Arabidopsis thaliana: one gene and its partner. The protein of the gene in region 1 interacts with the protein of each later gene in a biochemical or structural test. Each region holds a gene or a part of one and is shown on either strand. Other genes may lie near its edges. The genes, in order: PCNA2 and RAD5.

Region 1 (14,843 bases):
GATTCTTATATTGCTTATAACCATTGTCACTACTACTCTGCTTCTTATATTTGAAAGATGGTGAAGTCTTCACCGAATTCACATAGTCAAAATTAACAAAAGGTTATATAATGAAACAAAGAAAAAAAATACTATGGATGGATTTTGATTTAGCAAAATAGATTGTTTGAATATTGATTGATAAATCCTCTTAGCCTACGCAGAGTATCATAACTACTAATAACGCAAGCGATAGTTACAGAAACTATAAGAACTTAATAGAAGAGAGTTTTAAAAGTAAACAGCAACTGGAAGTTGAGGTGTTCTTATCATCTGTTTCTTCAATAAGTTTCTTCTTGCTCGTACTCAGCTTCTTCCTCTTCATATTCTCCTTCTTCATCAGCCGTTGCATCTTGATACTGCTGATACTCAGAGACAAGATCGTTCATGTTGCTTTCAGCTTCAGTGAACTCCATCTCATCCATACCTTCACCTGTGTACCAATGCAAGAAAGCCTTTCTCCTGAACATAGCAGTGAATTGCTCACTGACACGCCTGAACATCTCTTGGATCGAAGTTGAGTTACCAATGAACGTTGAAGCCATCTTCAGACCAGTAGGGGGAATGTCACAGACGGTTGATTTGACGTTGTTAGGGATCCATTCCACAAAGTAGGAGGAGTTCTTGTTCTGTACGTTCAGCATCTGTTCATCGACCTCCTTGGTGCTCATCTTTCCACGGAACATGGCTGAAGCAGTGAGGTAGCGACCGTGTCTTGGGTCAGCAGCACACATCATGTTCTTAGCATCCCACATTTGCTGAGTGAGCTCTGGGACAGTGAGGTTACGGTACTGCTGAGATCCACGAGAGGTGAGAGGAGCAAATCCCACCATGAAGAAGTGGAGACGAGGGAATGGGATCAGATTCACAGCTAGCTTTCGCAGATCAGAGTTCAGTTGACCAGGGAACCTAAGACAGCAGGTTACACCAGACATGGTTGCAGAGATCAAGTGGTTCAGATCACCAACTGCACAATTCAGAAAACAAACAAAAAAATATGTGAGTGAAGTTTCAATACTAATCAATAACTAAGCCTGAAACAATAAACCACAGAGACAGATACAGTAACAACATTGACTCATAATCGAAGAACATTGGAATACTTACAACTTGGAGTGCTAAGCTTGAGTGTACGGAAGCAAATGTCATACAAAGCTTCGTTGTCAAGAACCATACACTCATCAGCGTTCTCAACAAGCTGGTGCACAGATAGTGTTGCGTTGTAAGGCTCCACAACAGTGTCAGACACCTTAGGCGATGGGAACACAGAGAAAGTCATCATCATACGGTCTGGGTACTCCTCCCTGATCTTAGATATCAACAAAGTTCCCATTCCAGAACCAGTTCCTCCTCCCAAGGAATGGCACACCTGAAATCCTGTAAATCCAAACAACCAAAACCATAAGCAAACAACGAATACAAAACCGAATCCGTATTCCACAGTTCAAAATCAGAAATCTAAACCTAAAAACAATCATACACTACCAATACCCAACCTAAATTTACAGATCCAAAAACCTAAATAGACAAAAACCTAAATAAGGAAGACGGATTTCAAATACCTTGAAGGCAGTCACAGTTCTCAGCCTCTTTGCGAACAACATCAAGGACCGAATCAATAAGCTCAGCACCTTCAGTGTAGTGACCTTTAGCCCAGTTATTCCCAGCACCGGACTGACCGAAGACGAAGTTATCCGGTCGAAAGATCTGACCGTACGGACCAGATCTGACACTGTCCATGGTTCCAGGCTCCAAATCCATGAGAACAGCGCGAGGAACGTACCTTCCACAACTCGCCTCGTTGTAGTATACATTAACCCTCTCAAGCTGTAACTCGGAATCTCCTACATACCGTCCCGTCTGATCAATCCCGTGCTCGAGATTAACCACTTCCCAAAACTTGGAACCGATTTGGTTTCCGCATTGACCTCCTTGAATATGAAGAATCTCACGCATCTTCGCTCACAGAGAAGAAAACCCTAAAACTGGATCTAAAAAGAGAGAGAGAGAGAGAGATTTTGAAAAAGGGAAAGGAGAAGCAGAGAGGATCTTTTGTTTTATGAGAGAGAGAAGAAGAGGAGGGTCCATTTATAAAGAAAAGGAGGTTTTAACGGCTAATATTTGGTAATTCGAAATCGAATCGACGGTTTAGATAATGCCACGTAAATCGAGGTGGCAACGGGTGGCAAAATTCAAAAATTAATGGCTCGTGATAAAAAGTTTTTTTGAATTTCGTAAAAAAATATGTTCGTGTGAATGACAGCTGGATTCCATTAAGGAGAGCAGTTACTAAAACATCGTCGCACTCGCACGTGCTTTATGAGAGATAAAAAAGCGGTTCCAACCTGGCAATCGCACGTGAGAGACTTCTTATTGGGCCTAAAATGGGCTTTTACTCTTTTCATTTCAAATCTGCATGACTTAAAACGGAGTGATGTGCACTAGCAAAATCCTCAGACGGCAAGCATGTGTTTGTAAAGTGAAACTCATCGTTTTAATGATTGAATATGCTTATTGGATCCTGAACCGGAGCCTGAACCGGAGCGTGAACCAAAAAATACAGTCAATCGGAAAATGAATTTCAGATTCAAACTTGTTCATCGAAATTTTGCTTGAAGATTCGAATCGAGAAGTCCGTGGAAGAGGAAGAAGAAGAAGATGTCTGTGCAAGAGTATTTAGACAAGCATATGCTTTCTCGGAAAATCGAAGACGCCGTTAATGCCGCCGTAAGGGCTAAAACCTCAGATCCCGTTCTCTTCATCGTAAGTTTCCTTCGAATTTTGATTTACATGTATCGAAGTGAAATTATGTTACATTACTCATTGAATCTTCAATTGGAAAAGTGCAGGCTAATCATCTGAAGAAAGCTGTATCATCTGTGATAACGAAGGTTAAAGCACGACAGATCCTTGACAGCAGAGGAATTCCAACAGTTGAAGTTGATCTGCACACGAACAAAGGCGTTTTTCGTGCTTCTGTTCCCAGTGGTGATTCTTCTGGAACGTGAGAATTATTCTTACTCTGATTGATATACAATTCTCTAATATGATAAGCCTGACATGAGGAGATTGGTTTACTGATTCTCAAGGTATGAAGCTATTGAGCTACGTGATGGAGACAAAGGAATGTATCTTGGAAACAGTGTGGCTAAAGCTGTTAAGAACATAAATGAAAAAATTTCTGAGGCGTTGATTGGTATGGACCCAAAACTTCAGGGTCAGATAGATCAGGCTATGATAGATTTGGATAAAACTGAAAAGAAGGTAGGTGGGAACTTTTATTAGGATTGTAACAAGTTCATATATCATTGCTCCTCATGATTAATTTGATTTGAATATCTTGCAGAGTGAACTTGGTGCTAATGCTATACTTGCTGTGTCAATTGCGGCATGCAAGGCTGGAGCTGCTGAGAAAGAGGTATGAATGATAACATTTTCTCTTATCCTATGTATTTTATGCCTACTTTAGTTAGGAGATTTTGATTGAAGTTATTATCAGGTCCCTTTGTGCAAGCATCTTTCTGATCTTAGTGGCAGAGCAAACATGGTGTTACCTGTACCTGCGTTCACTGTTTTGAGTGGTGGGAAGCATGCTTCGAATACTTTTGCCATTCAGGTATTCTACATTAAGTTCACTATTAACGTTTCTGTTTCTCAAAGTTCTTCAAGAAATCTTTTGGTTTTCAAGTAATTTCATTTACATATGTAATGATTGTTGTGTTTTCATAATTTGTTTAGGAAATTATGATTCTCCCAATTGGAGCAAGTAGATTTGAGGAGGCCCTGCAATGGGGATCTGAGACATATCATCATTTAAAGGTCAATTTTCAAAGATATATGGCTTTCTAGAAGTTACCTTTCTAATTGCATCCGTAAATTTGTGTATAAGGTGAGAATGATCTATTGCTGTTTATGGCAGGCTGTCATTTCAGAAAAGAATGGTGGTTTGGGATGTAATGTTGGTGAAGATGGTGGTCTTGCTCCAGATATCTCGAGGTACATATATTTTTCCTCTCTGATGCTAATCTGCTTGCATCTGTAGATTGTCGAAACTGAGAAAACCATGTTATGGTTTGATGGCTTAGTGCCTAATATGTGTAATTGCAACTGTATGCAGCCTCAAGGAAGGTTTGGAGCTTGTAAAAGAAGCTATCAACCGAACAGGGTACAATGATAAGATAAAGATAGCCATTGATATTGCCGCCACTAATTTTTGTTTAGGTAATTTTCTGCTTCCTGGCTAACTGATTTTTTGCGGCTTCTTGTAGTCATGGATAGTCTTGGTTTGGTTCTCGGCATTGTCATTCACAATTGGCTAGTGAGACGAATAAGATGTTAAATCATCAAATGTGTAGCCTATCAATATCTTGCTCTTGCAAGTTTCAACTATGTTATACGTTTTTGTGTATTATTTCTTACCTTGTGGAACTGTTCTTTCCTGAACAGGTACCAAGTATGATTTAGATATCAAGTCTCCAAATAAATCTGGGCAAAATTTCAAGTCAGCGGAAGATATGATAGATATGTACAAAGAAATTTGTAATGGTATGTCTGGCTCGTCTGAACAATATTTTTTGTGTCTATCTTAGTACTCTTGCAGTATTGTAACGACCAGATTCTCTGTTTGGTCTCCTTGTGGGTTTAGATTATCCAATTGTGTCTATAGAAGACCCTTTTGACAAGGAGGACTGGGAACACACCAAGTATTTTTCGAGTCTTGGAATATGTCAGGTCCAACTCGGTTCCCCTACTATTAACGGTTCACATAGATTTTGTGTTCTTTCAGATCACACTGTCTTCTGATTCTTTTCTCAGAGTCAAATATCTAAAGAGAGAGACCCTTAAATCTTCTTGTACAATCATTTTCCTTGTCTAAATTCTCAGTGTTAAACTCTTGTAGGTGGTAGGTGACGATTTGTTGATGTCAAATTCAAAACGAGTTGAGCGTGCCATACAGGAGTCTTCTTGTAATGCTCTTCTTCTCAAGGTATTTCGTCCGTCCTATTTTGTTTATTACTATGTATTACCTGTGCACATATTGTATGTTTACTGCCTAAGAACGACAAAGACATAATGTGCATACGGTGATACAGGTGAATCAGATTGGTACAGTAACAGAAGCCATTGAAGTAGTGAAAATGGCAAGGGATGCCCAGTGGGGTGTGGTGACATCTCATAGATGTGGAGAAACAGAGGACTCTTTCATCTCTGACTTATCTGTGGGTCTCGCAACAGGTGTGATTAAAGCTGGTGCTCCTTGCAGAGGAGAACGTACTATGAAGTATAACCAGGTCTGGATCTTTTTCCAAACTAATATCCTCAGTACCCCTTATGCAATTACACTAGAACAATCTACATTACGTGGAGTAACCTGCATTGGAATTTTGGATCATAGCTCTTTCATCAGATTATCATCAGCTTCTTTTTAGCTTTTAAGTAGCTGAGTTATGTTGTGGTATGTGAATCTTTAGCAACCTAGGCTAAGTTTCAGTTTCTTCAACTTTTGGCTAATGCAGCCTCAGCTTATAGATCCATAATGATTGAGTTTGGAGCAGCCATGTACATTTAGTTGCTAGATAGTGTTCTCATTTCATTGTAGAAACTACTTTATTAAAAAGCTGAATCACTGTTGAAATGTTCCTGCAGTTGCTACGGATAGAGGAAGAGCTTGGGGATCAAGCAGTGTATGCTGGAGAAGATTGGAAGCTATCTCTCTAAACAAAATGCACATGTGATATTAATTGTTACACTTCTCGTCTTACTTCATTGTTCTCGAGTCTATTTCTCACGCAGACAAATTCTTGTGTCTTGAAAGTTCAAATTTTTTGTTGTTTTTGCCAAATTTAAGAACAAACAGAAGTAAAGAGTGTTAAACATGTTTTTTACAAATTGTAAAAGCATCCAAAAACATCAATCAACACTAGTTCGTGAGGTTGCAGAAGCCACAAACAAACGTGTTTTAGGGCTTCGTGTCTTCTTTTTCTTCAATGTTTAACAAACAGATGAAAAGTGTTATAAACAAGCTTTTCCAAATTTCAGAAAGACAAACATCATACGATTATCTAGTTTAGCATTGCCTTAAGATAGTAAATCCAGAAAACAACTGAATCAAGACAGACATTTCAACAAAGGACTCGAACGAAGACTATCAAACATTCATCATTATTCTGGTTTGGTGTCTTCTTCTTCTTCAATCTTAGGCGCCAGATAGTATCGAATGTAACCCATCTCAGCCACCTTGTACTCCACCACGACCGGTAACTCAGAGGACAAACTGATGGTCACAGTTTCCGACAATGGAGTAGCCTTTGTGAAGGAGTTCATGTACCTCAATGCAAATGAAAGCGAAACAGGCTCGTTCATCTCTATCACAATAGCATCTTCAGGCTGCAAAACACACATACAAACATAAGGTCACTTCAACATTGTATTGGACAGATTATTAAACAAATCTCTCTAGATGACTAGTGATTGTTCATACTTTGTCGACGGTAGTATTCTGCCTGAGCACAATGTTTGCTGTCCCGATATCACCTGCTGTTGAAAACTTCACCCCTTCTTTTGTTACCGAGATCACAACTGCAAAATCATAACATCAAAACCAGAATCATGATTAGAGAATCCTCGCAGTGATACACCAAATAAACAAACAGTTCATTTACCTGTGTCACCAATGCTACTGAGATCTTTGCATATCCTGGAAAATTCACCAGAAGGCATTCTCACAATCGAGTGGTACTCAGCATCAGGAATTCCTAAATGCTCACTGTCGATATCCATCAGCTTCATCTCAAAATCTGCAATCTTGTCTTGTGCTGCATCATCAACACCATTTAAATAATGAGATTAACACCACATAGTCAATATCAAACAAAGTTCCTCTGTTAACTTTCACTAAATCAAGAAACTCTATTCACTTTCAAACTATAGTCTTTAAGCTAGAGACTATACCTATTCTGAAAACAAAAATGGAAGGACTCATTCTCATCAAGCAAGTTCTAGTTTCTGTCAAATGAAACCTATAAATAACAGTTCAGATCACTAATAACATCATTAACTACACAAAAACAAAGCCATATCAAACCTTATTCCAAACCAAAAACCCTCTATTAACATAGATTTTATCTTCTCTTTCATCTCTTACAAACTAAAGCTTTCAAGAAATGGACTGAATCATTCTCTACAATCATATTCTAGCTTCTGGCAAATCAAACCTATAAACACAGAATCAGGTCACCAATAGCATCAACATTGACAACAAAACCAAAGCCCTAACAAACAAAAATCGATTTGAAGAACTTACTGGGACTCTCAAACATGAAAGTAACAGTGTCGCTACCATCATCAGCTTTGATGGTGATGATATCATCATTTCCAGCACATTTCAGCATCTTAGACATATTACCAAGATTCATTCCCATAGAGAGGTTCCTATCGCATCTATAGTGCTCGAAACCTTCAGATCTAAGCAAAAGAGACACCAACGCGACATGGCTCGAATCCATAGCTTGAAGCGAGAACCCTGTGGTCGAACAGTCGAAGTTCGCATCGTTCACCAGATCTTTGACCGCTTCTAGAACCTTCTTCAGTAGAGAACCTTGAACTAAACGAAGCTCCAACATCTTCTGGGAAATTATCGAAAGGTTAGAGTGTGAATCGAAACGGTTAGGGTTTTTAGAGCTGTTGAAATTTCTGGGAGGAGATTGCAATTGTTAGCGGGAAGTGATATTATAAGCTGAGATTTTGTGGCGCCATTTAGCGATTTTAGGGTATTTTTGTTCCCGCCTGTGTGTGACGATGAATTATCATCTGTGTGAGTCCGTATTGTTTATTTCAGTACACCACCATCACTTTAAGCTTTCTTATTTCATGGGTTTAAATTGGGCCAAACAAACATTCGGCCCAACAGCAGCTGTAATATTAAAGATTCCCGAAAAAATCGAAACGAGAGCAAATCTGCTCTTCAAGGTAATCTTCGTGTTCGAGACTGAAGAAGAAATCCAGAAATCATTGAGGAAGGAAGAGAATTAGGAAATGGCGCATAGAATACTGAGAGATCACGAGGCTGATGGATGGGAACGTTCTGATTTCCCAATCATCTGTGAGTCTTGTCTCGGTGACAATCCTTACGTGAGAATGGTATATTCTTCGCTTCCTATGTTTCTCCTCAAACAAATTCGATTTCCTTGCCTTTAGCTAGATTTTTTTTTAACATTCATGTGTCTTTATTAAGATCTCCTTTCATTTGTCCATTTTCGAGCTTGTTTAATGCTTTTATGTTTCTTAGTGTTGAAGCTGCAATTTTAGTGATTTGAGATTTTAGGGTTTAAGCGATTTAATATACAATTCATAACCTTTGGTAAAAATCAGAATTCATGGAGTTGTAGTTCAAAATGATATCTTTGGTTTGTTCTGATCAAATTTGCTTAGAGGGAATGTAATTCATTGAATACTGTCTCATGTTATGTCTGGTAGTGATGTGCAGCTTCATGTTTGATTGATTGATTGATTTATTGTTGTTGTTTGGTATGTAGACAAAGGCGAATTACGATAAAGAGTGTAAGATCTGTACCCGGCCTTTCACGGTTTTCAGATGGCGACCTGGTAGGGATGCGAGATACAAGAAGACTGAAGTTTGTCAGACATGTTGCAAGTTGAAGAATGTGTGCCAAGTTTGTCTCTTGGATCTTGAGTATGGTCTTCCAGTTCAGGTCAGAGACACGGCGCTCAACATTAGTACTCATGATTCTATCCCAAAAAGTGATGTGAACCGAGAGTTTTTCGCTGAAGAGCATGATCGAAAGGTATGGTGACTCTGCGTTCTAACTAGTTATATTATTTGAGTATTGATTGGTTTGAGATTTGGCTATACAGTTTCTCTACTTTGTAATGGCCTATTGAAATGGTTTTGTTTTCTTGTGTAGACGAGAGCTGGACTAGATTATGAGTCTTCTTTTGGGAAGATTCGGCCCAACGATACCATTCGTATGCTTCAAAGGACAACGCCTTACTACAAAAGGAACCGAGCTCATATTTGTAGTTTCTTCATTAGGGGAGAGTGTACAAGAGGTGATGAGTGTCCATACCGTCATGAGATGCCTGAAACAGGAGAGTTATCCCAGCAGAACATTAAAGACCGTTATTATGGGTAAGCATACTTCTAACTTTCATTTTGTTTGAGTATGATAATATTGAGTTACTCCTCAATTTCTTGCTTTGGTATATCATGAAAGAGAGTTATGAAAAATACATCAGTTTGTGTGCGTAAACTGGCTGTTATTTTGGTGATATTGGAACTGTTTTCTCATCTTATTCTTCACTTCCTGCAGTGTAAACGATCCAGTTGCGTTGAAGTTACTTGGCAAGGCTGGGGAGATGGGTACTTTGGAATCTCCAGAGGATCAAAGCATCAGAACGCTTTATGTTGGTGGGCTAAACTCGAGAGTCCTTGAGCAAGACATTCGTGATCAATTCTACGCCCATGGAGAAATCGAATCCATCAGAATCTTGGCTGAGAAAGCATGTGCGTTTGTCACTTACACAACCCGAGAAGGAGCAGAGAAAGCTGCAGAAGAGCTCAGTAACAGGCTAGTTGTCAACGGTCAGAGGCTAAAACTCACATGGGGAAGACCTCAGGTTCCCAAACCTGATCAAGATGGTTCTAACCAACAGGGCAGTGTGGCTCATAGTGGTTTACTACCTCGAGCAGTTATATCTCAGCAACAGAATCAACCTCCACCAATGCTACAATACTATATGCACCCACCACCACCACAACCTCCTCATCAAGACAGACCATTTTACCCATCAATGGACCCTCAGAGAATGGGTGCAGTTAGTTCGTCCAAAGAAAGCGGTTCAAGCACCAGTGACAACAGAGGAGCTTCTTCTTCTTCTTACACTATGCCACCACATGGCCACTATCCTCAGCACCAGCCATACCCGCCACCATCATATGGAGGATATATGCAACCACCTTACCAGCAGTATCCTCCTTACCACCATGGCCATTCACAACAAGCTGATCATGATTACCCACAACAACCAGGTCCCGGTTCAAGGCCTAATCCTCCACATCCAAGTTCAGTCTCTGCTCCACCACCTGACTCTGTGTCTGCAGCACCTTCAGGATCCTCTCAGCAATCTGCTGATGCTGCTGTTACTACTGGTTCGTCTCAATAGGAACCGTTGTCAGTTAAAATGTAGTGCGAATTTCCGGCCATATCTACATTTTGACTTTTTGCTTCTGCTATTTAAAATTAGTTTCCAATGTAAGAGAAGAGAATTGTTACAGTAGTTGTAGACTCTTGTTGACATTATAATTTTGAATTTTTGATAATCCAACATACACATTAAATCCAAGCTGAAACCATAGACAACAAAATTCTCTTGAAGCTTCTTCAAATTCCTCTTTAAACAGCTTTCAATGTTGTATAGATGAGACATATCATACCATCCTCATCAACATAACTATCACAGTTACTGAATGGTTTGATCTTTATAAGCTATGTACCAAGGTTTTAGATTCACAACCAGAAAGAACAAAGGACCTAACCAAATTTACCTAACCATAATCTTATTATTGAAAACAGACATTACAGTGATACAAGACTTAAAAGTTGGACTCAGAGCTTACTAGCTTGTCTACCAAACATAGAATGTCGACCTTCCGCTATAATCTCCCCGGTCATCTTGTTTCTGACTACAACGATTGTTCCTTTATAACCTCCTCTCTCTCCTAACAATCTCGACGTTATCTCCAACTCCTCCTGAAAATTCATTTCCATTTCAATATCATATCTCTCAATCCATTTCTATAGCAAACAAACAGTCCCAAAGTACAGATTGAAAAAAGACTTGAGCAGACTTACACCAAGCTTAGCTTTTGAAAGGAATGCAATAGACATGTCCACTGAAACACTCATAGGTAAGCCTTCGCCATGTACAAGTGCTCCACCAACTTCATCCACAAGATTTGCAATCGCACCATTTGCTAAATTCTTGTCTCTGTCCTGACATTATCAAAACATTAAAATATCAACATCGTCTCCAATAAAAGAAAAAAACGACACAATCAAGTTCAAGCATCTTCTAGATTCTGCTCAAGTTTCCAAAGACTAATAGTATCACCGAGAACTATCATCTTCAAACATCTGACAATAATGCCATTAAACCTCAAATTAGCTTATTTCCAAAAACCTATCACGCTAATTCGACAATTAATCAAAATAGAAGGGGCTTAGAGGATTGAGAGAAAGACTTACCGTCAAACGAAGAGGAACCTTGAAAGAGCAGGAAATGAAACCCGGTTCGACTCGGTTGACTCGGATTCCTCTGAGACTAAAATTCTCGTAGAAGCTTTTCCCTTCACCTAAAAATTCTTCAACTCGCGGTGCCTCACCGTCGTCAACCACCTCATCGCTCAATTGCAGATACTCCATAATTTTCTCCATCATCGTCTTTCTAATTTCTTTCAATTCTTATTTTATTTTTATTTTTTGGATAAATAAATAAATTACTCAATTCATATTTCAGATACTTTATGGGCCTTAAAGGCCCCATTTTAGCAAATCGTTACGCCGTCGTTCTCTGTACTATAAATACGAGCATTTTTTTCAACTATCAAATTCATTCTCACTTTCAGTTAGATAATTCGTTGCTGCTAACGTCACACTCACACGGCGATGGCTTCTATCTCTGAAACTTCCGACGACGGCTCTAACGGCGGCGATCCAAACCAGAAACCCGAAGAACCTCACAAGAACCCGCAAGAAGGTAAAGAAGAAGAGAATCAAAACGAGAAACCGAAAGAAGACGATCATCAAGAAGAAGAAGTAGAGAATGTTCCTCAGATTCCTCCACAAATGCCACTAGAACTAATCGTAAGCACCATCGCGACTCTCCGGAGATGTCATTACCCGACGCTATCTCTCCTCTCTGACTCCTTTCGTCAAGTAATCTCTTCGGTGGATCTCTTCCAAACTCGCTCGCTCATCGGCTCGACGGAACCGGTTCTTTATACCTTGATCACGTTCACGTCCCCAAATTTTGAAGAACCAAGATGGTTTATTCTCCAACGGAGAAACAATACCTCTTTACAATTGAGCTTAGTCACATCTCTTCCTCCCATGTTTCCTGGATGCACTACCGTCACAATCGGACACAAGATTTACGTTATGGGTGGACTCAGAAGCTTGAATCGACGCGCAAAGACTGTGTTTGTCATCGACTGCAGATTCCATACGTGGCGCTATCTCCAGGAGATGCAAGTGGCTCGTTCCTACGCAGCTTCTGCAGTGATTGACGGAATGATTTACGTGGTGGGAGGTTCCACTAAACGAAGTGATGATTGGGTCGAAGTGTTCAATGTAGAGACTAATACTTGGGAAAATGTGCCTAGTGTATTATCCCCCTATGGTCGTTCGAAAGCACCGTTTAATGTTCATTTCGTTTTGGATAATAAGATTTACATTTTGGATGGTAACAATCGTGTGGCTTACGATCTAAGAGGACGTAGATGGGAAGATTGGGGACCTGCAGGAAATCAATTGGGGTATTTCTGGCAGGTGTTGTATTGTGTGGTTGATAATTTGTTGTATGCCGTTGTTCCGGATCACCTTCATGTAACTCCCATTGTCGTGTATGATCCAAGAGAAATGGGTTGGAGACCTGTCATGGGTGTTGATTACTTGCCTAACCTCGTTTATAGTGAGTCTAGAATGACGAATTTTGGTGGGAAGTTGATGATTTTGGGATGTTATCAAAGCCAGGCTAGGTTTGATTATTACGGGGAAGTAAATGTTTGGTGCGTAGAGGTGGCGTTGGAGAGACGTGAAGATGGTGAAATTTGGGGGAAGGTCCAATCACTCTCGCTTGTGAATAAATTCCGCAAGTCGCCTGTCTTTGTGCTTTCTCGAACTGTTACGGTTTGATGATTCGTTTGCAGTTGCAAGGTATGTTAATTAATCTTTGATGAGTGATGATGATGTTTCAGACGTTTTCTTGAGCCTCAAGTCTGATGTAGGTTTACATGAACTTGCAGGTGAAGGATCTTTTCTTACACCTTATTGATATGAAGCAAAAGTGGTGCAGAAGCTCTATATCTGACAACTTATGGAGTAACTCGTCTTTCTTTACCTTTGTGCAAAAATGTGAATACTCTTAAAAGAATTAGCCTTGTGTAGAGTTGGCCACTCTTTTAGCTTTTCGATACAAAAGTTCTTATGAGACTTGTTGAAATGCATCTTTAGTCTTTTGGGGTTTTTGCAGAAACATGGTCTCAACTTCTTCCTGTTTGCTTTTAGATATATAACTCTTGTGTAAGTAAGCTGATTAATCTACACTTTACACTAACTAATGAACCTAATCTGCCTCTACTATATGAGCAACATTATGAAATATTGGTTTAGATATGAAGTAAACAGAGTGATTAAGTAACAGATGGTTTTGATTTTGTGGGTAACTGTCTACGATATATGAAAGTGTGGAAATACAAAGTCCTGATCAAGGCTGAAGTTATCTATATAGAACGTATACCAAAAAAAAAACACCTCTGTTCTCATTTTTAAAAGACTCACTATGCTTTTAGCCGTTTAAGTATACGAGCAATATAAAAGCAAGACAAATTGGTTCCTCAATTTGGTGACCTTATCATTTGAGCGACAAATTAGGGTTTCTAAATAGAGAACAACGAGACTTGTGTTTCACGTCCAACGACATTTAACAAAAAGACAAAAAAGCTAATCTAGAGCAAATCACTAAGCTCCTCTCTCTGATATCGCTCCCTCTTTCAGAGACCATGTCATTCATGTTGCCTTTTGGAGACCATGCTGGTTTTGAGCCATTGTTAGTGTGCTAACACATAAGTGAAAAGAGAGACGAAGTAAGATAAGAGATGACAAAAGAAATTTGTAGTGTTGGAAAGGGGTGTTGCTACTTACCACTATCTGAATGGTTTGAAGCTTCAGATTGAACAGGTATTCGATTCAGTGGATCTCCTTGTGTCTGCATTGCTTCTTGTTCCTGATGATGTTGTTGCTGCGGTATTACTCCTTGCAGCTCGTTGCTGTTTGCTCGATATTCAACTTCAAGTCTTTGCAGCTCTTCTACTGAGAGGTTCTGTTGCAGCTGCGATTGCGGTTGACATTGTCCATATAGGTCTTGTGGCGGCTTTTCGGGTGGCCTTACTACTCCTTGAAGCCCGTTGTTGTTTACTTTACTTTGAAGTCTTTGCTGCTCTTCTAGTGAGAAGTTCTGTTGAAGCTGCGATTGCCGTTGGCATTGTTGATATAGCTCTTGTAGCATGTCATCGGGTAGCGTTTGTAGTGCGGCTGCTAAAGGATCCATCTGCTGGAAATTTGGGCTGCTATTGTCAATATCTTCTCCGAAACCATCTCTAAAATGATCAAATGCCGCAGTAGGTGCTTTTGGAAGAGTTGGACCTCCAGTATCTAAGGGAAAGAGAAAGGAGAATGAATCATACAAATGCTTAAGTAGAAGAGTTACAAAACAATATAATGAGAAAGGAAGATTAATAAGTCTATTATTTACAAGCAAAATCAGTAGATGTCGGCCATTGAGTAGTAGCTGCTGGTGCAGCGGTTGAATATAGTACTGGATAGTAATCTATGGAGGAAAAAAGGAAGAGTGATTCATTCAAAATCTTTGATGCGAAAAGGGTTTAAACTATGAGAGATAAAGGTTGAGTGTTTTCTTTACACGCAAGATCAGTATATGGCAACAATTGACCATAAGCTTCTGGTGGAACGATAGGAGCTCCAAGATGGGAACCTATGGAGAAATAA
Region 2 (18,688 bases), on another chromosome or scaffold:
TCAACAAGCTATTTCAATTACTATCAAATTTAAGATTATATTGAAATAAATGATTAATGAAATGATTACCGAACCGCCATCGAGCCTGAACCAAGGCAATGTTGGGATTGTGCATGAGGAAAGGAATGCTACGGCGAAGAAAATCAGGTTCGGGCTGAAAATCGGCGTCGAAGATGACAACATACTCGCAATGCTTGACATAACTACGTTTGAGTCCTTCCTTTAAAGCACCGGCTTTGTAACCAACTCTATTCTCTCTTATTTGATACCTAATATTGATTCCTTTACTTGCCCATCTTTGACACTCCACTTCCACCATTTGCTGCACATTTTGAGTATCTCATTTAAATCACACATCAAAAAAAAAATCTATCTATTAATGTTACAAATTTATTAATATTTCCCCTTTTCTTTCTTACCCACAGGAAAATATTACATCTCTTTTAAATAAAGGAAAATATCTTTTGAAAAAAATGGTAAAAAATCTAATTTGATTGGAGGAAAATAATGCACCTATATTTTTGTGAAATGGACTAAGTAATAATAATAATACCTTAACAGTAGGATCTGTAGAGTCATCTAACACTTGAATCACGAGACGATCGGACGGCCAGGAAAGTCCACACGCCGCTCCTATTGATAGCTTATAAACCTGCACGGCAAAAATCACGGGGAAGCAAAAGAAATCTCTTTGTCAAACTTTTTCACTTTTAGTCCACTAATTAATGATTTACTACGAGTTAACCCCTAAACTATAGGTTTAATCATAAAAACCCAAAATCACAGAGAACAATAAATAAATATGCGTCACGACTCTCGCCGTTTCGGGATTTGGAACGGCGGAGGAATATGAATACGTGGGGAAAAGTTATCTTCCGTAAAATCTGAGATTACTTTTCTCGAAAAACTTATAACTTTAACGAGAAACAGAGAAAAACAGAGGAAAAACAGAGCAATGAACAGAGAACCGACCTCTCGTTCGTTGAACATGGGGATTTGTACGAGGACGACGGGGAAATTGGAGCTACCAAGCTCTTCATCATCGTGAATGGGCTCGAACTTGTAACGTTTGTCTGGTTTTTTCCAGAAGAGTTTGACGAGGACGATGACGATTCCCATGTAAACCCTCTCACATAAAAGCATGACAGACATAAGCAAACAGATGTAAACAGCTAATTGAAGAAGAGGGACAATCACTGGTGCTTTTACAAGCTCCCAGATCATGCCTAGTTGGCCTGTGATCTCCATCCTCACGCCGTCGAATGTCTCCGGCAACACAAACTTTGGTGATACACCGTCCATTTTTCCTTCTCTCTTCTCTTCTCTTAGAGTGTAACAATGGTTGGTGTGTTTCTCTCTCTACGATGAGGTTTTGGTGTAATGGGTTTATGAGATGAGGCAGAGAGAGAGAGATTGCCTTGAGAAAAATGGAGGCTTTTCTCTCTCTACAGTTCTAAAGAGAGAGGAAACTTAGGAAGAGAGAGAGCCAGAAGGAGAAATGTGGTTTAAGGGAGAAGAGGAAGAGAAGGATAAACGAGGAATATAAATGGTGATAATTTTGTTTTTTTACTTTATTTTATTTATTTGTAAGATTGTTTTCCTTTTTTTGATTGATTTTTTATTTAGATTTTTTAGAGAGTAATAAAGGTTAAAAGGAAATAAAAGGAAGAAAGAAAGAAAAAATACATTTGGTTTGTTTGTGTCTTTATGAGATTCTATTTTTTCAGTTAATGAAATTTCTGGTAAAAAACAACAGAGGAGATTTTGGTTTTTCAGTTTCTGTGTTTTGTTATTTCAGAATCTGTGCCTGCCCAATGGGAAGAGAAGGGAGAGAGATATAGATTTCTAATGAATTTATTATCCTAATGATATCCTTTTATACACAGTTGAATAATGATTAGTGATTAGTGATTTTATGCGTTTTTTTTTAACTTTTTACCATTTATGGGATTTTGGATTTTGCAGCTTTTTATAACAATTTACTTATTATAGGTCAACTTTCTAGAACTCATTTTGTCAACCTTGTGAATTCACTTTAACTCCTTTTTTTTTTTTGGGATTAGTCAATTTACTCTCATGAAAATAATTTTAAGTTTGATCATCCTTTTTTTGGGATTAGTCAACTTTTTTTGGTTAAGTTTAGATCATTGTTTTTCTTACAAAAATAAATGAAAGTAATTTTAAGTTTGATTTGTACCTATAAAAAAAAAAGAATTAACATCATATGAAACAACATGTTACTAGATCTATCATATAAATCTATATCTTACATATAGATATAGATTTTCATCTTAGACATAAAAATTCATATATATATATATATAAAATGCCGTTTATCCATAGGTGTTAATAAAATCATCAAAACACAATACATTGTTATTAGAATATTGGTGTGGTATCTTTTCTTAATATTTCAATACTTTAATTAGGAAAATACATATGTTTGATGAGAGAAAGATCAACCTCAACGGGAGAAAAACATTAGACTTATCCAAATTTGTATACTTTATAACTGATTTGGATCCCATATGTGGCACAATTTGGTTGGTGAATGTCTTTGTATTAGACATAATTAATTTCTTTATAAAACAATTTGACACATTTTTTCAAACATTTGAATTTTTAGACTCTCTATTTTGGATCTACCATTGGACATACTTTAAATATAGATCTCTTTCAAATGTCTAAATTGTAAATTTATTTTTATTAAAATGATAAAGCTTGTTTGGATCCTTATTTTTGGATCTATTGTTGTGGATGCTCTAAGGCAGAACACAATCTAATATACTCTTTAGCAATGATAAATGTGTTTAGGAGATGGAATGGTAGTGGTTCAAACCCTTTTGGGAGGAGAAGTATTTCTAAAAGAAAAGGACTAAATAGTGGCGTCGGACCTAGGAAGAATAAGGTCGAAGCCCAAATTCGCAATAAAAGAAAAAAAAAATCTATATACGTATAGTGTTTATCATAACATGCATGAGTGCAGACTGCAGACCAAGTTGCCAGTTTCCATGGATCGGATATTGCCAGTTGCACCCCATACTAGTATTATTTTGAGCGTTCTGATATTTTACTTAGGTTTGTGTATTTTTTGTATGCATTTGAGTATAGAGTTATTTGCTGTTATGATATTTTATCTACCAAAATAATCCTACTTGATTATATACCGTTGTTGAATTGACGAATTTTCAGTACCCATAATGAAAAAAATACAATGTTGAGGAAGTCTTTAATGTCACTGGTTTAAGTACCGACATAATGTTGACGTATTAACATGGAGTGGTCTTTTATGTGAAAAAAAAATCCGAGATTCAATTAAAAGTTAAGACTTCTTGGTTATTCAGAGAAAAACCATGAATATAAAGTTACATTTTCTCTATTCATTTAGAGCGATTTACAACTTTAAAAGATACAAAAAATGCTCGTTCTTTTAATATTGAACAAGTTTTCGAAAGAGTTTAGAAAACAATACAAAAACGTTTCTGTAAAAGAGAAACCAATCTGTTTTTTTTTTTTTTTGAGTGCAACCAATCTAGCTTTACATACATTAAAAATAATATATACATTGAGAATTCGTCTATGATATTTAATGTTTAAGTGAGAGTTATATTTCTATAAATAATAATAAGACATTGCTTTGACTAGAAGGCCTTGCGCTGCCACAACTACGAGCAATTATGAAGGGTTAGGTTCGTCCAAAGTGGTATCATGGTTCGTAATTACATAAGTAGCCTCACTATAGTTACCTTGTGTCTTTTAATCGGACTATTACTCCACTTTTTCAGGTGATGCTTCAACTGTTTTCACGATAAAGTTGTGTCATTAATTTTTTTTGCTTCTTTTATCTCAGAAAAGACATATAACACGAAATTTGTTCGATAGGATGATTTTAAAAGTGGCTCAGCAAGGCAACAATCTCGTGTTTGAGTGATGACTAGGATAAGTTGGTTCTTAAAATTTTCATTTCTTTTCTGTAGATATAATCTTAGAAGTAAGGTCATGTCTACGTTAATTAGCTAAATGATTCTTTAGTTTTATGTATGAAATTTTGGAAATTAGCATGCGTAACTGACTTTCTTTTACATGACTTTTGACCATTTCTAGTTACGCGAATTTAATATTCAACACTACATACTATACTACAAAAATTTAACAGTGTCAGCCATATGCACCATAAAAATTCACCTTACATTATATCTTGATCTTGACCTTTCGACCTTGAATTTGACCAAGCCTTTAAAACCTATAATTTGTTCATGGATATTTTGGTTCGAAGTTACTAACTCCTGGATGTAAAAAGAGGGTTACTAATACTAACTCCTTGATCGGCCATGAAGAAGATAATATTAGGTATATACATATATTTAATTTACACCAACCACCACAATGAGAAAGTACATAGCATTAACATAAATGGTGATGTAGACAAATCTAACATAATTCGTATAGTCTATACAGTTTATAAAGAAACTAATTTGGTCTCTGGTTAAACTTATTGTATACTAGATTGGATTTATTAGGAGTGTAGCGAGTGTTAAATGGGCTAAACCTATTTTGCAAACAGGGTAATACTGTTTGAAAATTCTAATTAATGCTCTAGCGGCCAATGATTGTGGTTTTAGCAAAGATATAGGAGCTTAACATTTCATTTTTTTTCTTAGTTCGAAAAGAAAAAAACTATTAATGAATAATTAGTTTTCATAGAAAGTGGGCGTTAATCCTACTTACTAAATTGATACTTTGATACTGTAAAAAAATGTTTATATATCTTCACTTTAAACTCTAGTGTTACTTTACAGAAACCGGGTATTGAATTATTGATAGTACGTCGTCTATGTGATCAAACTCGTTTTGAGGACATTCCCTCAAAGTTCTACAAAAGCATATTGTGCAAGCCGAAACTTTGGACTTGACTTTTTTAAATGAAATTGATATCGAAAACATATTATCTTTTCCCCGAGATTGAGCCAAATAATGAAATAACTAAAACAAACAATAATCCCCTGCGTTAATCATGTCGAATGTGGATTATCATCACTATTAACTAACTATTCATTGGGGTTTAAAAGTTAATTCATAAGAGATAGACAAAGAAAAGGGAGTCAAAAATCGAAGAAAACAGAAATCGTTATAAGTTTCTGTTTGTTTGTAAAGTAAATAATAATATAGTTCAGTTTATAAAATATCAACTTTTACCTTTTTAACGTTGCAAATGGCAAACCTTCCATAGATTCATGACGATGTGTTAGTTCAAACATAAGCAAATTAACTCCTCTTTTGTGTCCGAAAGCTCCTCAATCTAAGGACATATGTTTGTATGCAGATTGCAGATAATGTTATTTTCTTACTTCAAGAAATTAAGGTTTCTTTGACAAATAAGTGTAATGGCGACATATAACATAGAATATTAATTTTGTCGTCTCGTGTCGACGACATATCGATCTGTTACTTTAAGATTTTCTTCCGATTTAAGCTCATATATATACATATTATTGTCTATATATAAGAATTTAAAATTTACACATAATTTCAAGACAGTTTAAGAAATCGTTTTAACATGCATCCGGTTCATAAATTTTACACAAGTTTAAATTATACTATACAAAATATTACTTGGAAAAAATGTACATTACTGTATATCGTATTATTCGACAACAACCAAAAAAAATCCTAATCTCTCTAGTGGAAAAATCAAATTGACTTCGCTTTTGCTTTCAAGTTGATTTATTTTATTTTTGTTTGTATTAGGACACTATAATAGAATATGTTTGAAAATCTAAACCAATTCATTATTCATCACTATACGTCTTTCCTTTTCCTCCTCCATTCAAGGCCTTGATTAGTGAAAATCTGAACCAATTCATCACTATACGTCTTTTACTTTTCTAGGTGATTTATCCACGCATTAATACTTGGAATTGTTTTGATTAGCCTCACGTAAATTTTAGTTTTCAATGCGGAATAATAAACAAACCTCTCATTTTAGCTATAATATTAGTTTTAGTGTGATCAAGCCACATATAAAACATATTGGATTAGTTTAGTAGTGGTTCAGGTTGATGTTTATTGGATGGGTAAGTTATGACTCAATTACTTGTGTAGTGTACAGATGGTTTTTAGATATTTTAGAGACTAAATAACACTCACATACACGTTGTTACCTAACTTGAGAACAAATCGTTACCCTAGAAGCAGAGAATTTAGCAGCCGATCCATTTGTGTCTGTGGATATTGGTTTTAGTACAATAATTGACACGTTATACGACTTCAAATCAATCACTTCGTAATTTTGTATCGAAGATGACAAAGCCACGGTATCATAAAATTTGCAATAAAAGTCCCTAAAATCTGTTATAAATCAGTATAGTTTCTAACAGTACAAAGTATAAAGACTCCTAATATTTTATCTTAACAAAGGAAAAGAAGATCACAGGAACATGTTATGTAAAAGTGTCACATTTTCTAGATTTTTAAAGTAATCCTTAAGCCTTTTCACTGTGCAAATTTGTCATATTGAGTTAACTATATAATAGTATAAAGTTACAGTTCATTATAAATGAAAAAGTACAAAAAACAATCTGATTTCCATTACAAAACAACAAAACCCAGATAGGCTTATGGTACACTTGGGAACTCTCACTGCACATTCCCCAAAACTGTGACAATTGTCCATCATATCTCTTGAAAAGAACAAAACCCGTTTTTAGATGCGTTATAATCTCTGATTCTCCTTGCATATAGTGTGACAAGTTTCCCATATATGTAGAATTGTATGATCGACTTCAGGCTTGAGAACAGTTTCTATAGTTTCAGGTAAATAACATCTTGAGTTCCTCTATACGTGCACTTCGTACTTCTTGATCGGTTAAAGCCCCAGAGATCATTCTCTGCTTCCTCGCCTGAACCGCCTCCATTCTCTCTTCAACCGTTCCCTAGGATTCACAAAGGCAAGACATACAAGTTTCTAATGATCATTACTCAGCAACAACATTTTCTGATTTTGGAATAGTTTCAGTGATTGGTCTTTATATGGTTAATGGGGACTAACTGCTGAGAAAGAAGAGGGTACCTTAACGATGAATCTTCTGATTTTGACTTCCTTAGTTTGCCCTATACGATGAATACGCATAACAGCTTGTTCCTCTACCGCTGGGTTCCACCATGGATCCTATAGGACATAACTTGGTTTTCTTTACAACTGAAACTTCTTTAAAACCTATTTTGTATTGTGCAGTACTCATTCACAAGCTTTTGAAACAAAAGGTGGCATGAACTACTACTCGATTTTCATATTTTGGATGAGCTATTACATGGTCTAAATCCTATAGAAACTGATATGATCTTTCATAGATATCTATAGATATTCCATACCATGACAAAAGCATTGGACGCAGCTGTTAGATTTATCCCAACGCCACCAGCTTTTAGAGACATCAACAGTACCTATCCAACAATTGAAAAGGAGACTTTTTAACTTCAATTTCGAAACTAGAAAGTATAAGTATTGAACATTGCAATGTAATGCGACTGCACCAACCAGGATACTGCCATCTTCGGAAAATTCTTTAAGGACCTTCTCTCGTTGCTGCTGACTTAGCGTGCCATCAAGACGGACAAATGAAAAGTTATTCCTGGAGATAAAATTGTGCTATAATTTAGATTCTTAAAAACAATTTATTCTCATAACTACCATAGCAAGCCAACAATGGTATACCGAGAGAGGGGAATTTGGAGGAGATCGAGGAAAGCGGTCCACTGGCTAAAGAGAATGCTCTTAGAGCCTGAAGAACGAAGACCTTCAAGCTCTTCCAGAAGAGCAGTGATTTTCGATGATTCCACCCAATTCTTTTCCACGTCAACCTGGAATCTACTTTCGGTTGGTGCTGTGATGAGTTCTTGTTTGCTTACAGTGTTCCTGAAAAAAACGATTCATCATTCATTATTTGCCAAATTAGACCTTACTCAGACACTCATTGGAATCAACAACAGAAGAAAACTAGTAATCGCAGGAACAACTTCAAGATACCTACACACAGGACATAACCCAGAAGTAGAATTTCTCCAACTTGCCAAGAGACACTCACGACATAATCTATGAGCACATGGCGTTAATACAGCATCCTCAAGTGCTTCAAGGCATATTGGACACTCTCCTTGCTCTCCTTTGCGCAGTTCCTCTACCACCTCCTGAACAAAAGCCTCTGACGGTACATCTTTTCCTTCCCTTTCTAAGCCAGAAGACTTTCCACTAAGGAAACGTTTAGAAAGCTTATTCAGATCAGAGTATTCCGCTGTATCCCCTCGACTGGATGCAAGAAAAACAAGAGACTGTTATAAGAAATATGGCAATTGCGTCAACAAAATGTCAAACAGAAACAAGGGCTACGGATGCATGTTTCTTATACCAAATTGCCATTATCTACGATATGTTATTGGATATTTTATACAACGTCATGCAACAGATTAAGTAGCCATGGAAGTTAAACCCAGCAATGTGTATCTATACTAAATAAAAAGCCAGTAAAAGCCACACCTCATTACTAAAAATGGGTGATCACAACATTGTCGAAGACGCAAAAGCAGTTCCAGGATCGAAGCATAGTTATGAAGAACTTTGCCTTGTTCAACAAATTGATCAAATTTGACCTGAAAAAGATCCGTCAGCATCTTCAGTATAAGGCATCTTAATAACTAAAGTTCGAGTAAATAATCCTAAGGAAAACAATACCTTGGATCTTTTAAATAGCGCGTCGTAGAAATCCCTCTCAGACTCCGAAAGTTCACAGTAAATGACCCGTGCATCAGCAGGGGGTAGAACAAGAATCGGCCTAAAATAAACAAACAAGCTTCAAATTAACCGAGGAAACTCAAAGGAAAATATTATGTTTTATAAGCACAGGAAGTTATACAGTAATCTATTATTTGTAGTATTCCTACCTTCCTTCTCGGTCTGTGCTAGACTTTGTTCTCCTAAGCATGATAGGTTTTAAGATAGACTGCACTAGCTTTAACCCTCTCTCATCACCCTCTTCAAATGGCTTTTGGACAAGTTTATTCCACCTAAGAATAAAATATGTTCCAAATTAAAAAGCTTCAAGTAATTCCATACCAAACGTTATGTGTTTCCAACCAAAGATAGATAAGGACCCTTACCATGCCCAAGTTCCCCATGGTTCAATCCTCAAAAACCGTAGAAGGCTGTATAAATCCTCCAGATTGTTCTGTCAATAAGATAACATGTGAAATGATCACAAAGTTCCAAATAGGACAAAAAATTACTATTCACCATCCATTTGAATGAACCAAGATATCATGCCAGCAGACATATGGATACCAAAATTGCAAGCCATATGAAATAAATCTTCAAAGACAACTTTGTGAGATAAAGTCGAGACTTGTGTACAATAAATCATGCACAACAAGTTGATATCCTTCTAACAGAGATTTAGACCATTCGAAACTCAGGTGAATAACAAATGTCCAACTACTAAAATTCTTCCATAGATAGAATGGCAGTGTCCTAATAAAGTTTGGTCTATAGGACGGTCAAGAACAAAGATTTTCTTTCTAAACCCTAGACAAAAAGACCAATCACCTGAATAGGAGTACCCGTAAGACACCAACGCCTATCAGCAACCAGAGCTGCAGCAGCCAAGGAAATTTGGCTTTTTGAGTTTTTGATGGTATGTGCCTCGTCAAGAACAATCCTAAACCATCGAACTGCATAAATTCCTTCATGGTCTGCTGAGTTCTAAGAAGAAGAAAAACGAGAGAAGATAAGAAAATGTTCATGTGATGCTTTTATAAACTATATACATGGAATAATCCATGACCCGAAGACTCTTGTATGAAAGATACCTCTTGCGAGAATTCGGATGTTAGAACTCCATATGTGGTGATTACCACATCACTCTGGGAAAGAAGTTTTGCATCCTTCGGCCTGCTTTGCCCATAGTGAACATAGACAGATAGAGACCCAGGCTTTGCATGCATTTCAATCTCTGTCTGATCATAAAGCAGGAGCAAGAAAATATTAGCTGACACAAGGAAAGACAAAGAACAATTAACAACTTTGACGGATAACCAAACTATAGTGTGCACGTGCATTAAGCATGGAATACCTTCCACTGTCCTAAAAGTGTCATCGGACATACAATCAGGTTACCACCATTTTGAAGTACACTTTTTTGTTCAAGAAGCCTCTTATCAAAGCCTAGAAATTTGGTTGCCTTCACCGGGGGACTAGTGAGATCATCTACAGAACTGCTGATCACTTTGTCTCCTTCATAGTTGGGGCATAGAAACCCAGTTGATGCAGCTTTCCAAGAATGGGCAAGCAAAAGGGATATGGTCATTACAGTCTTTCCAAGACCCATTGCGTCTGCTAATATCTACAAAAGTTTTAGGATATAATATTATTACAAAACAGCTATATAATAAAGTGACAAAATCTAAACAATAAATGAAAGAAATTTTTATAGGTGGGGTATTGAGATCATACTCCTCCTCTTGCCATTTGAAGTGTGCTAGGGAAGTGTATTGTAGCATCACCAGTAAAAGAATTCAGGTAGACAACCAGTTCCCTCCTATTGACATAAAACAGATAGTAAATATCTTATCTGACTCGCACTAAAGTTCGAAGGCAATAGAAATATCACTCACTTGTCTGCTAAACAGTATGCTTCCCAACACGGGTGAAGCATTGTTGCTGCCTCATCAGTGCAATTTCCTTTCTCCAGTTGGGTCATCCAATGAAGTGCCTGCTTTTGGTATGGACGAAGCTCACACAGAAGTGTATGTGGAGTTTCCATTTCCTGTTGCAAAAATTTTCATGCAATTTTCCAAAGGAAATTTCCAGTGTTGGATATAAGTAAGCAAGAAGTCTTGAAAATGAGAATACCTTTAATCCAGAACTGTCCCCAACACCAACAATGTTATCAAGATCACCATCGCTGATACACTGCTCATTTTCATCTCCGTTTGCATCTTGATTCATATTCTTGACCTTGTTTAATTGAAGCAACGAAGTAGGAATAGCAGAACCATCCTATTTCCATAGGGCAGAGAGCAAATGACAAATTTTACAGGCAAGAAGTCAAATTTTAAGATGCTAATATAATAAGTAATATTTACCTTGGAACTCAAAGGTCGCTTCTTAGAGTAAAAATCCTCTGGAGTAAACTCTGCCTAAATATGATGAAGAATGGAAAAATTTCTTCGTCATCTCAAGATTATTCAGTCACATCATATGAGAAGTATATGGGAACTACAAACTGCAATCTATAAAAGAATCCGCATATCAAGTTATAGGCAAGGAATAACCATTACCTTCTTAAAGGGGATCAAACCGAGTAACCGAAAGAGATTTGGGAGAGGATGGAACATTGATTCCTCTGCCGTATTACTAGCTGTCTTAAATGAAGTCGCACTATGCTTTTGAAACATGGAACTATTAATGTACACGCTGTTTCAAAAACAAACTCACACCACTTCAAACACTAATGCATCTATCCTGAAATTGTAAACGGGAACACAAAAGTTTTGTATGCATACCTTACAGACAGAAGAATTGTATCCATGATGCTCAAAGCTTCAGGCGCCGACTTGCAACTGCCTTCTATCCTAATTTTCTTGTCTCTCACAAGTGGTAGAAGACACCGAGCCCACTCGTTTGGTATTCTACCAATCTACCACAAGAGCCCATCATAGTTAGTTAACAATTCCCATCTAACAAACTTAACATAGCAAATAAAAAAGATGTGAAACACACCTCTCCTGAATCCTTTGTAGAGAACCTAACGATATCAGAAGCACCACGCAAAGCTGGCCTTCCCCGCCCAAAACCGCGCTTCCCAGGCGTAGTCTCAGGCTTTAATCCTTTACTATGCGGAAACGTGAACACCAATTCATCACCAGACTTCAATTTCCTTCCTTTACATGTCGATAACCCAGCCAATTCAGAACAACCAACAAACCACCACTCATTCCCTGAAACACTCTCTTCTCCTCCACCATTAACACTCTCATTTTCTTCCTCCACGCGATGATTCGCTCCAACACTTCCGCTGTCACCAAAAGTACAGCCCTTTAATCCACTATCAACTCGCTTCCCTCCATTAGAGCCGCTCGGGGTAGGAGTGGCTACATCAGGTTTGGCGAAACTTGGAGTGTCGAAGATTATATTGATAGCAGCCGTTGGATCATGATTCGCCATGTGTAAAGCCCTGATTATATCCATATCTGAGTAATCGGAACCCACGACTGATCTGACGGTGGAAACAAGATCGTCTGAGACTTTCGTTCCCATTTCCAAAACCCTAATCCTACAATTTTCCAGGGAAATTTTGAAACTTTACTGAAAATTCAGTGAGCTTGTGGCTAAAGAACGCCGGAAAAAGAAAACCCCAATGTAGTACAGTGGCGAATTATAGAAATTGAAGTAGATCGACGACGACGGCGTACGAAATCTGCCGGACCCGAGAAACGCGCGTAAATTAGCGACGAGTCTCTCAAATTCCCGCCATTATATTGTTTTTTTTATTCAAGTGATGAAAATAGAAAGGTAAATTCAAAAACGGTGACGTTTTAAAATCCCTAACGGGTCTAGATCCGGGTAACCCGCATCCCGAGTTGAACTCAGTTTAACAATTAGACCACAAAAATCTGCCATTAACTCAGAAGTGAGAAGTGTAGTAGAACCATTCGACACGATTGAAAAAGCTCATCTTTTTTATTTCTATGTCTCTCTCTTTTGGTTACGTAAGCTCTCTGTCCATATGCTTCATTGATGGTGGTGGTTATCAAAATCTAGCAAGGTTTTAGCTTCAATTCTGTCCATATGTTTATCCATTTCCAAGCTCAGACGTGAAAAGATTTCAGATTTATCGCTGGATCACGGCTTTGATTTCTTTTGCTTCAGCTTTGAATTTGATTTCTTTTGCTTCAGATTTATCGGTGGATCTTAGATTTTGATGTGGGTATATGGTTCGATTTTATAAAAAGAAGTTAGATTTTTGGAATCATAGAAAGGGATAAACGAGAATTGAAATCTGGGGATTGATTTGGATCTGATGGAAGGAAAGGTGGCTAAACCTAGAGGTAGACCAAGGAAACGCCCCAGACCAGAGGATCTTAATGGGGTATCTAATCGAGGGAAGAGGCCGGTTTTCGAGGTGAAAGTGGCTGTACCTAGATCTCTTCTTGGTCGTTATGTGTTGAAAGATGTTGATGACAGTGGAGTTTTTCTTGGGAAGATAGTTTCTTACAATACTGGGTTGTACAGAGTTGAATATGAGGATGGTGATTTTGAGGATTTGGAAACTTGTTATCTTCGCCAGTTAATTATTGGGGATAGTTACTTTGATGATGAATTACGTGCTAGAAGGAGTAAATTAGACGACTTTATTCTGAAGAAGGACGAAAAGAAGAAAACAGATTGCCTGAAGAACAAAGGAGTTGAGGTGCCCACATGTAATAGCCCAAGTTCTGTGGCAGAAGTTGAAAGTGGTTATTCATCTTGTGGTTTGCCTGAGTGTGAAGATGACATAGATCCAGATTTCGAAAGTATGTCTCCTCTTGTTCCACCAGTGGAGTTGCCTTCTTCATCAGGAACAATTGGTATCCCTGAGGAGGCTGTGGTGTATCTATTATCTGTATATGGGTTCTTAAGATCATTCAGTGTTCAGTTATATATCTGCCCATTTGGATTGGATGATTTTGTGGGAGCTTTAAATTTTTTAGGACCTAATTCTTTGTTGGATGCCGTTCATGTTGCCTTGATGCGGGCACTGAAAGGTCATCTTGAGAGACTCTCCTCAGAAGGGTCTGAAGTGGCTTCAAAATGCTTGAGGTAAGCACATACAACTCTTGTCATTTACAGTTTTCAACAGATATTTCTTTGTTTCTTCTTGGAGATGTTTCTAGTTAACTTTCATATATTCCGAGTTATTTCTGTGAAACAGTAAAATTAATTTGTTGGATATCTGAATTTCAAGGAAGCAGAACTGCTGACATTATTTTTCAAGCTAGTAAAAATATACATTGTTATCTTATGTATGCATACATGCAACAAACCTTTTATAACAGCTGGGAGAAAAAGGCCTATGGCTGTACAGGGACTGCAATATAAGCCTCTTATTCATAGTTTAGGTGAAACTTGTTTTAGGTCTCCCATTATCCCATATTTTAGTGGATAACAATTCGGGGGTTTTGTTGCATTGCCATCTGCAGGTGCATTGATTGGAGCTTGCTCGATGCGCTAACTTGGCCTGTTTATTTGGTTCAGTACTTTGCTGCCATGGGACATGCAAGTGGGCCTCTCTGGAGATTTTTTAATGAATTTGTTGTGGAGAAAGAATATTGCTCGTCACCTGTAGTAATGAAGTTGAAGATCCTGCAAATTCTGTGTGATGACGTCTTTGATGTAGCAGATTTAAGAGCTGAAATTGATAACAGAGAAGAATCTGAAGTTGGATTTGATACTGATGGAGTAACTGCTGAACTTCCTGAAAATGGACCTAGAAGGGTCCACCCCAGATTTGCTAAAACCTCAGCTTCCAAGGAGAAAGAGCTTAGTGAATTTGTTGCAGTGAACCATGGGATAAGTTCATTGAGCGACTCAAAAAATTGGAGTTCAAGATACACTGATGGTGGTCCTAATGGAGATAGCCCAGATCTGGATGCAAACAGTGATGAATGTAGGCTCTGTGGCATGGATGGAACGTTGCTGTGTTGTGATGGATGCCCTTTAGCATATCATTCAAGATGCATTGGTGTGGTCAAAATGTATATACCAGATGGGCCGTGGTATTGTCCAGAATGCACTATAAAAAAAATGGGGCCAACTGTTGTTTATAAAACGTCACTCAGGGGAGCAGTGTATTTTGGAGTGGATCCACATGGGCGACTCTTTTTGGGTACATGCAATCTCTTACTGGTGTATGTTTTCGACGCCTTATTTCATTTCAGATACTTTGCTTTTCAAATTTATGGAAATAGAGTTGATCTCTCAGTTCTATATCTCACGGAAAGTTGTTTTTGCACTTTATACTTTAATAATTCTCACTCATCAGCTTGTCTAGATTTTACTTATATTGCATGTATTATTTTTTGTGTGGATGCTGATGAATATTTCGCTTATATCACAGGCTTAAAATTAATGTCCATGCGGATGCAGATATCAAATATTACAATGTCACCGACATTCCAAAAGTTGTCCTGGTACTTTTGTCTGCAACGAACCATAGACTGGAATATCTGTATATATGCAAAGCGATCTCACAATACTGGGATCTGCCTGGAGGTGTGATCTCTTATCTGAGAACAGTGGAGACTGATTTATCTCACATGCAAAAAGAAGGGGGCGACGAGGTGTCTGACATAGGTGAGCCAGATAGTGCAAATAGTTCCAGTGGAAATCTTATTCAAAATGCGGTTAGGCTCCACCCATCTGCCTCAGGCTATACTGGTGGTCCTGTTTTAGCAAGATCAAGTGGAGCGCAAGAGAAGAATTTGGTTGCAGTCAGTACACAGAAGGGTTTATCATTTAAACCTCATTCTTACATTAATCATTACACAAATGGAGAATTGGCTGCATCAGCTGCTGCTACTTTGGCTATCCTAATGTCAGAGGAAACCCATGAACCTGATCTACACAAATTTAGTAATGCCAAGAAAGCTGCATCAAGTAACATCTTGCTACAGATGAAAGCATTTTCGATAGTAGCCTCGAGTTTCTTCTGGCCAAGTCCTGATAAGAAGGAAATTACCAGAGAAAGGTGTGGATGGTGTCATTCTTGCAAACTCACATCAGCAAGTAGGAGAGGATGCATGTTAAATGCAGCTGTAACAGGGGCCACCAAGAGTGCTATGAAAATCTACAGTGGCCTTTTTCCTCTAAAGAACGGGGAGGGGGTACTTTCTAGGATCGCAGCATATGCCCTATATCTCGAGGAAAGCTTACGTGGTCTCATTGCGGGGCCATTTCTTAGTGAGAGTCTTAGGTACCAGTGGCGTAAGAAGTTAGAGGAAGCTTCAACATGCAAAGCGATGAAAGCCCTCCTGCTTGAAGTAAGTAAAACTTTTTCATTCTAAAACTGTTCGGTTCTTATTCACGTTTTTTTGCTATTAAAAATAATTGTACTTTTTCTTGTCATTTGCACTGTTCAGATTTGATGTTGTCAACTATATATAGTGATATCTTTGGTTTGTCACTATATGTATCGTGTTTTCATTGGCATGATATGGTTCATTTTGCTTGTTCACAGCTTGAGGAAAATATTTGCAGTATTGCTCTGTCAAGCGACTGGCTTAAACTAATGGACGATTGGTTGATAGAACTTTCTATCTTTCAAAGCGCTCCAGTTACTGTTGGGGCCACACAGAAACGTAGACCTGGTAGGAGGAAGCAGAGGAACCAGGCTGAAAATACGGCCCAAGGTTCTGATGATGATAGCTTTACTTGGTGGCGAGGGGGGAAGTTATCAAAAATTATACTCCTCAAGGCAGTCTTGTCGAAGCCTAAGATAAAGAAAGCAGCTTGGCAAGGTAAACCTGATTGGTTATGCTTTTTGCGCTTGTGAACAATTCTCACGTATGCATTCTTATAGTTTTTTCTTTTTTGATACTTCGACCGGAGATATCTTATTTGAGTTTTACTCTGGGGATAGTGCTAATTTGTTTTGTTTTTTTTATTCCATTAGGTGGTACGAAAAAGTTTCCTGAATTTAATTATGGTGATGGTTCTTACATTCCTAAAAGAAGCAGGCGGTCTATTTGGAAAGCCGCAGTTGAAAGTAGCAAAAACATTTCTCAGCTTGCTCTTCAGGTTTGTCTTCTATTATCAATGCTTATTCAAATGATTCTGTGTATATGATTGTTTTTTAATCCCCTGAAATTCAACTGAATTGGGGCCAGGTTAGATACCTGGATATGAATATAAGATGGAGTGAACTTGTACGCCCAGAGCAAAACGTGCAAGATGTTAAAGGTCCAGAGACAGAGGCCACTATTTTCAGGAACGCTAGTATTTGTGTCAAGAAGATTATAGATAACAAGGTTAGATACGGAGTTGTCTTTGGGAATCAAAAGCATCTTCCATCCCGTGTCATGAAGAATGTCATTGAAGTCGAGAAATCTGAAGATAGAAACGAAAAGTATTGGTTTCATGAAGCACGCGTTCCCTTATATTTGATCAAAGAATATGAAGAAAGTTTGCATAGGGTGGTACACATACCTTTTATCAAGAAGCCATCAAGAAAAATATCAAAGCTCCAGAAAAGGCAACTAAAAGCTTCTCGAGCAAACATATTTTCTTATCTAGCCTCTCGGAGGGACAACACGGAGAAGTGTTCTTGTGCATCATGCCATCTCGATGTTTTTTTGAGGTATTATTTTAGCTTTCTTCACCTTTCAAGATGCTTCTTAAAAAATCTGATGTAGCTCATTTATTTGTGTTCCCGTCCTCTACATGTCTATAGGGATTCAATAACATGCAGTACTTGCCAAGGTACACTACACTCGCTTGCTGATGGATTTGACAACATGGCAATATTACGTTTGCTTATTTGGGAATTTATCTGAATAATTGTGGATTTACTCTTTGCCTCTCAGGTTTCTGTCACAAGGAATGTACTATGAGTTCACAACACACAACTGGGCAGTTGGAAATTTTGGTAACCTGCAAACGGTGCTACCTTGCAAGAGCACGTTCACAAATCAATATCAATCACAGACAACCAACAACACCCAGTGTCCTGATCAACGGTCAACTTCAAAATGCAGCCACTTCAAACACGAAGACACAGATTAAGCGTCTTAATCAACAGTTACCATCTTCCAAAACAGGCGACAATGCTTCAGGAGTTAAACAAATCACTCCGGATTTCAATTTGGCACCGAAAAGTAAACACAAGACATTGTCTTGGGGAGTCATATGGAGGAAAAAGAACTTGGCAGACACAGGTGTTAGTTTCAGACATGAAAATGTTATGTTGGCTGGACGATCTGATCAGCCGAATCTGCAACCAGTTTGCTGGATCTGCAAATTGCCGTATAATCCTGGCCTAACATATATTCACTGTACAAGTTGTGACAGTAAGAAAATTTTTACTCACTCTAAATTCTATACTGAATTGTACATTTCGTCAATGCCACCATTTTGCTCTTATAATTCTAATCCTAGATCTCTATGCAGTGTGGTACCACATCGAAGCGGTCAAGCTCGAGGAGTCAAAAATTCCTGAAGTGGTTGGGTTCAAGTGTTGCAGATGTCGTCGTATACGATCACCAGATTGCCCTTACATGGATCCCAAACTCAAGGAACAGAAGCAGATGAAACAAGTATTCTTCAGGAGGCAGAAGCATGGGCAAGGAAATACCGGAATTGATTCGGATTCCGAAAGAATGTCTGAACCGAAAGACTCGTTGCCCTCTACTCCCTCATTTCTCTCTGAAGATACGTTTGTTCCAGAGGATGATCCTCTCTTGGTGTCAGTTTCAAAAGTCGAACAAATTACACCAAATAGTTTGGATGTGGAATGGAACGAGGATGGTTGTGTGCCAGGACCACAGAAGCTACAAGTGAGGAGACCAGTAAAACGTGAAGACACGGACGGGAATAATAATCTTTCTTATACCGAGTTTACAATGCATCCCGAATCAATGCCTGTTGTGAAACCAGAAATGGAGC

Evidence for each region.
Region 2: of the proteins of PCNA2 (region 1) and RAD5, one has a biochemical effect on the other in vitro, tested with the Arabidopsis thaliana proteins (one study listed by BioGRID).

Annotation. Positions count from the first base shown.
Region 1 is NC_003071.7:12,643,938-12,658,780, forward strand, and holds PCNA2 (proliferating cell nuclear antigen 2), read right to left. Parts: upstream 7,817-14,843; 5' UTR 7,662-7,816; coding exon 7,343-7,661; intron 6,855-7,342; coding exon 6,702-6,854; intron 6,619-6,701; coding exon 6,521-6,618; intron 6,427-6,520; coding exon 6,202-6,426; 3' UTR 5,969-6,201; downstream 1-5,968. Other genes in the region: TUB7 (tubulin beta-7 chain), read right to left, coding at 321-1,006, 1,147-1,416, 1,602-1,995; ENOC (cytosolic enolase), read left to right, coding at 2,698-2,802, 2,889-3,043, 3,129-3,303, 3,386-3,457, 3,539-3,655, 3,778-3,858, 3,959-4,035, 4,157-4,260 and 5 more; MAC5B (CCCH-type zinc fingerfamily protein with RNA-binding domain-containing protein), read left to right, coding at 8,074-8,178, 8,574-8,843, 8,964-9,187, 9,369-10,221; AT2G29590 (Thioesterase superfamily protein), read right to left, coding at 10,665-10,808, 10,911-11,051, 11,304-11,495; AT2G29600 (Galactose oxidase/kelch repeat superfamily protein), read left to right, coding at 11,724-12,971; AT2G29605 (Plant protein 1589 of unknown function), read right to left, coding at 13,972-14,489, 14,590-14,664, 14,758-14,829. UniProt on the Arabidopsis thaliana protein: This protein is an auxiliary protein of DNA polymerase delta and is involved in the control of eukaryotic DNA replication by increasing the polymerase's processibility during elongation of the leading strand. May be involved in UV resistance.
Region 2 is NC_003076.8:7,558,565-7,577,252, forward strand, and holds RAD5 (DNA/RNA helicase protein), read right to left. Parts: upstream 12,546-18,688; 5' UTR 12,308-12,545; coding exon 11,771-12,307; intron 11,688-11,770; coding exon 11,554-11,687; intron 11,465-11,553; coding exon 11,329-11,464; intron 11,188-11,328; coding exon 11,134-11,187; intron 11,048-11,133; coding exon 10,901-11,047; intron 10,815-10,900; coding exon 10,663-10,814; intron 10,587-10,662; coding exon 10,502-10,586; intron 10,392-10,501; coding exon 10,122-10,391; intron 10,006-10,121; coding exon 9,859-10,005; intron 9,752-9,858; coding exon 9,596-9,751; intron 9,222-9,595; coding exon 9,154-9,221; intron 9,061-9,153; coding exon 8,938-9,060; intron 8,829-8,937; coding exon 8,729-8,828; intron 8,647-8,728; coding exon 8,534-8,646; intron 8,306-8,533; coding exon 8,027-8,305; intron 7,916-8,026; coding exon 7,715-7,915; intron 7,632-7,714; coding exon 7,538-7,631; intron 7,444-7,537; coding exon 7,372-7,443; intron 7,169-7,371; coding exon 7,070-7,168; intron 6,933-7,069; and 3 more. Other genes in the region: CSLA02 (cellulose synthase-like A02), read right to left, coding at 70-322, 554-652, 973-1,302; AT5G22760 (PHD finger family protein), read left to right, coding at 13,071-13,849, 14,230-14,937, 15,147-16,068, 16,266-16,545, 16,701-16,825, 16,915-17,384, 17,478-17,506, 17,611-18,093 and 1 more. UniProt on the Arabidopsis thaliana protein: Functions in error-free postreplication DNA repair or DNA-damage tolerance (DTT) pathway. Required for homologous recombination (HR) induced by DNA double-strand break (DSB) in somatic cells.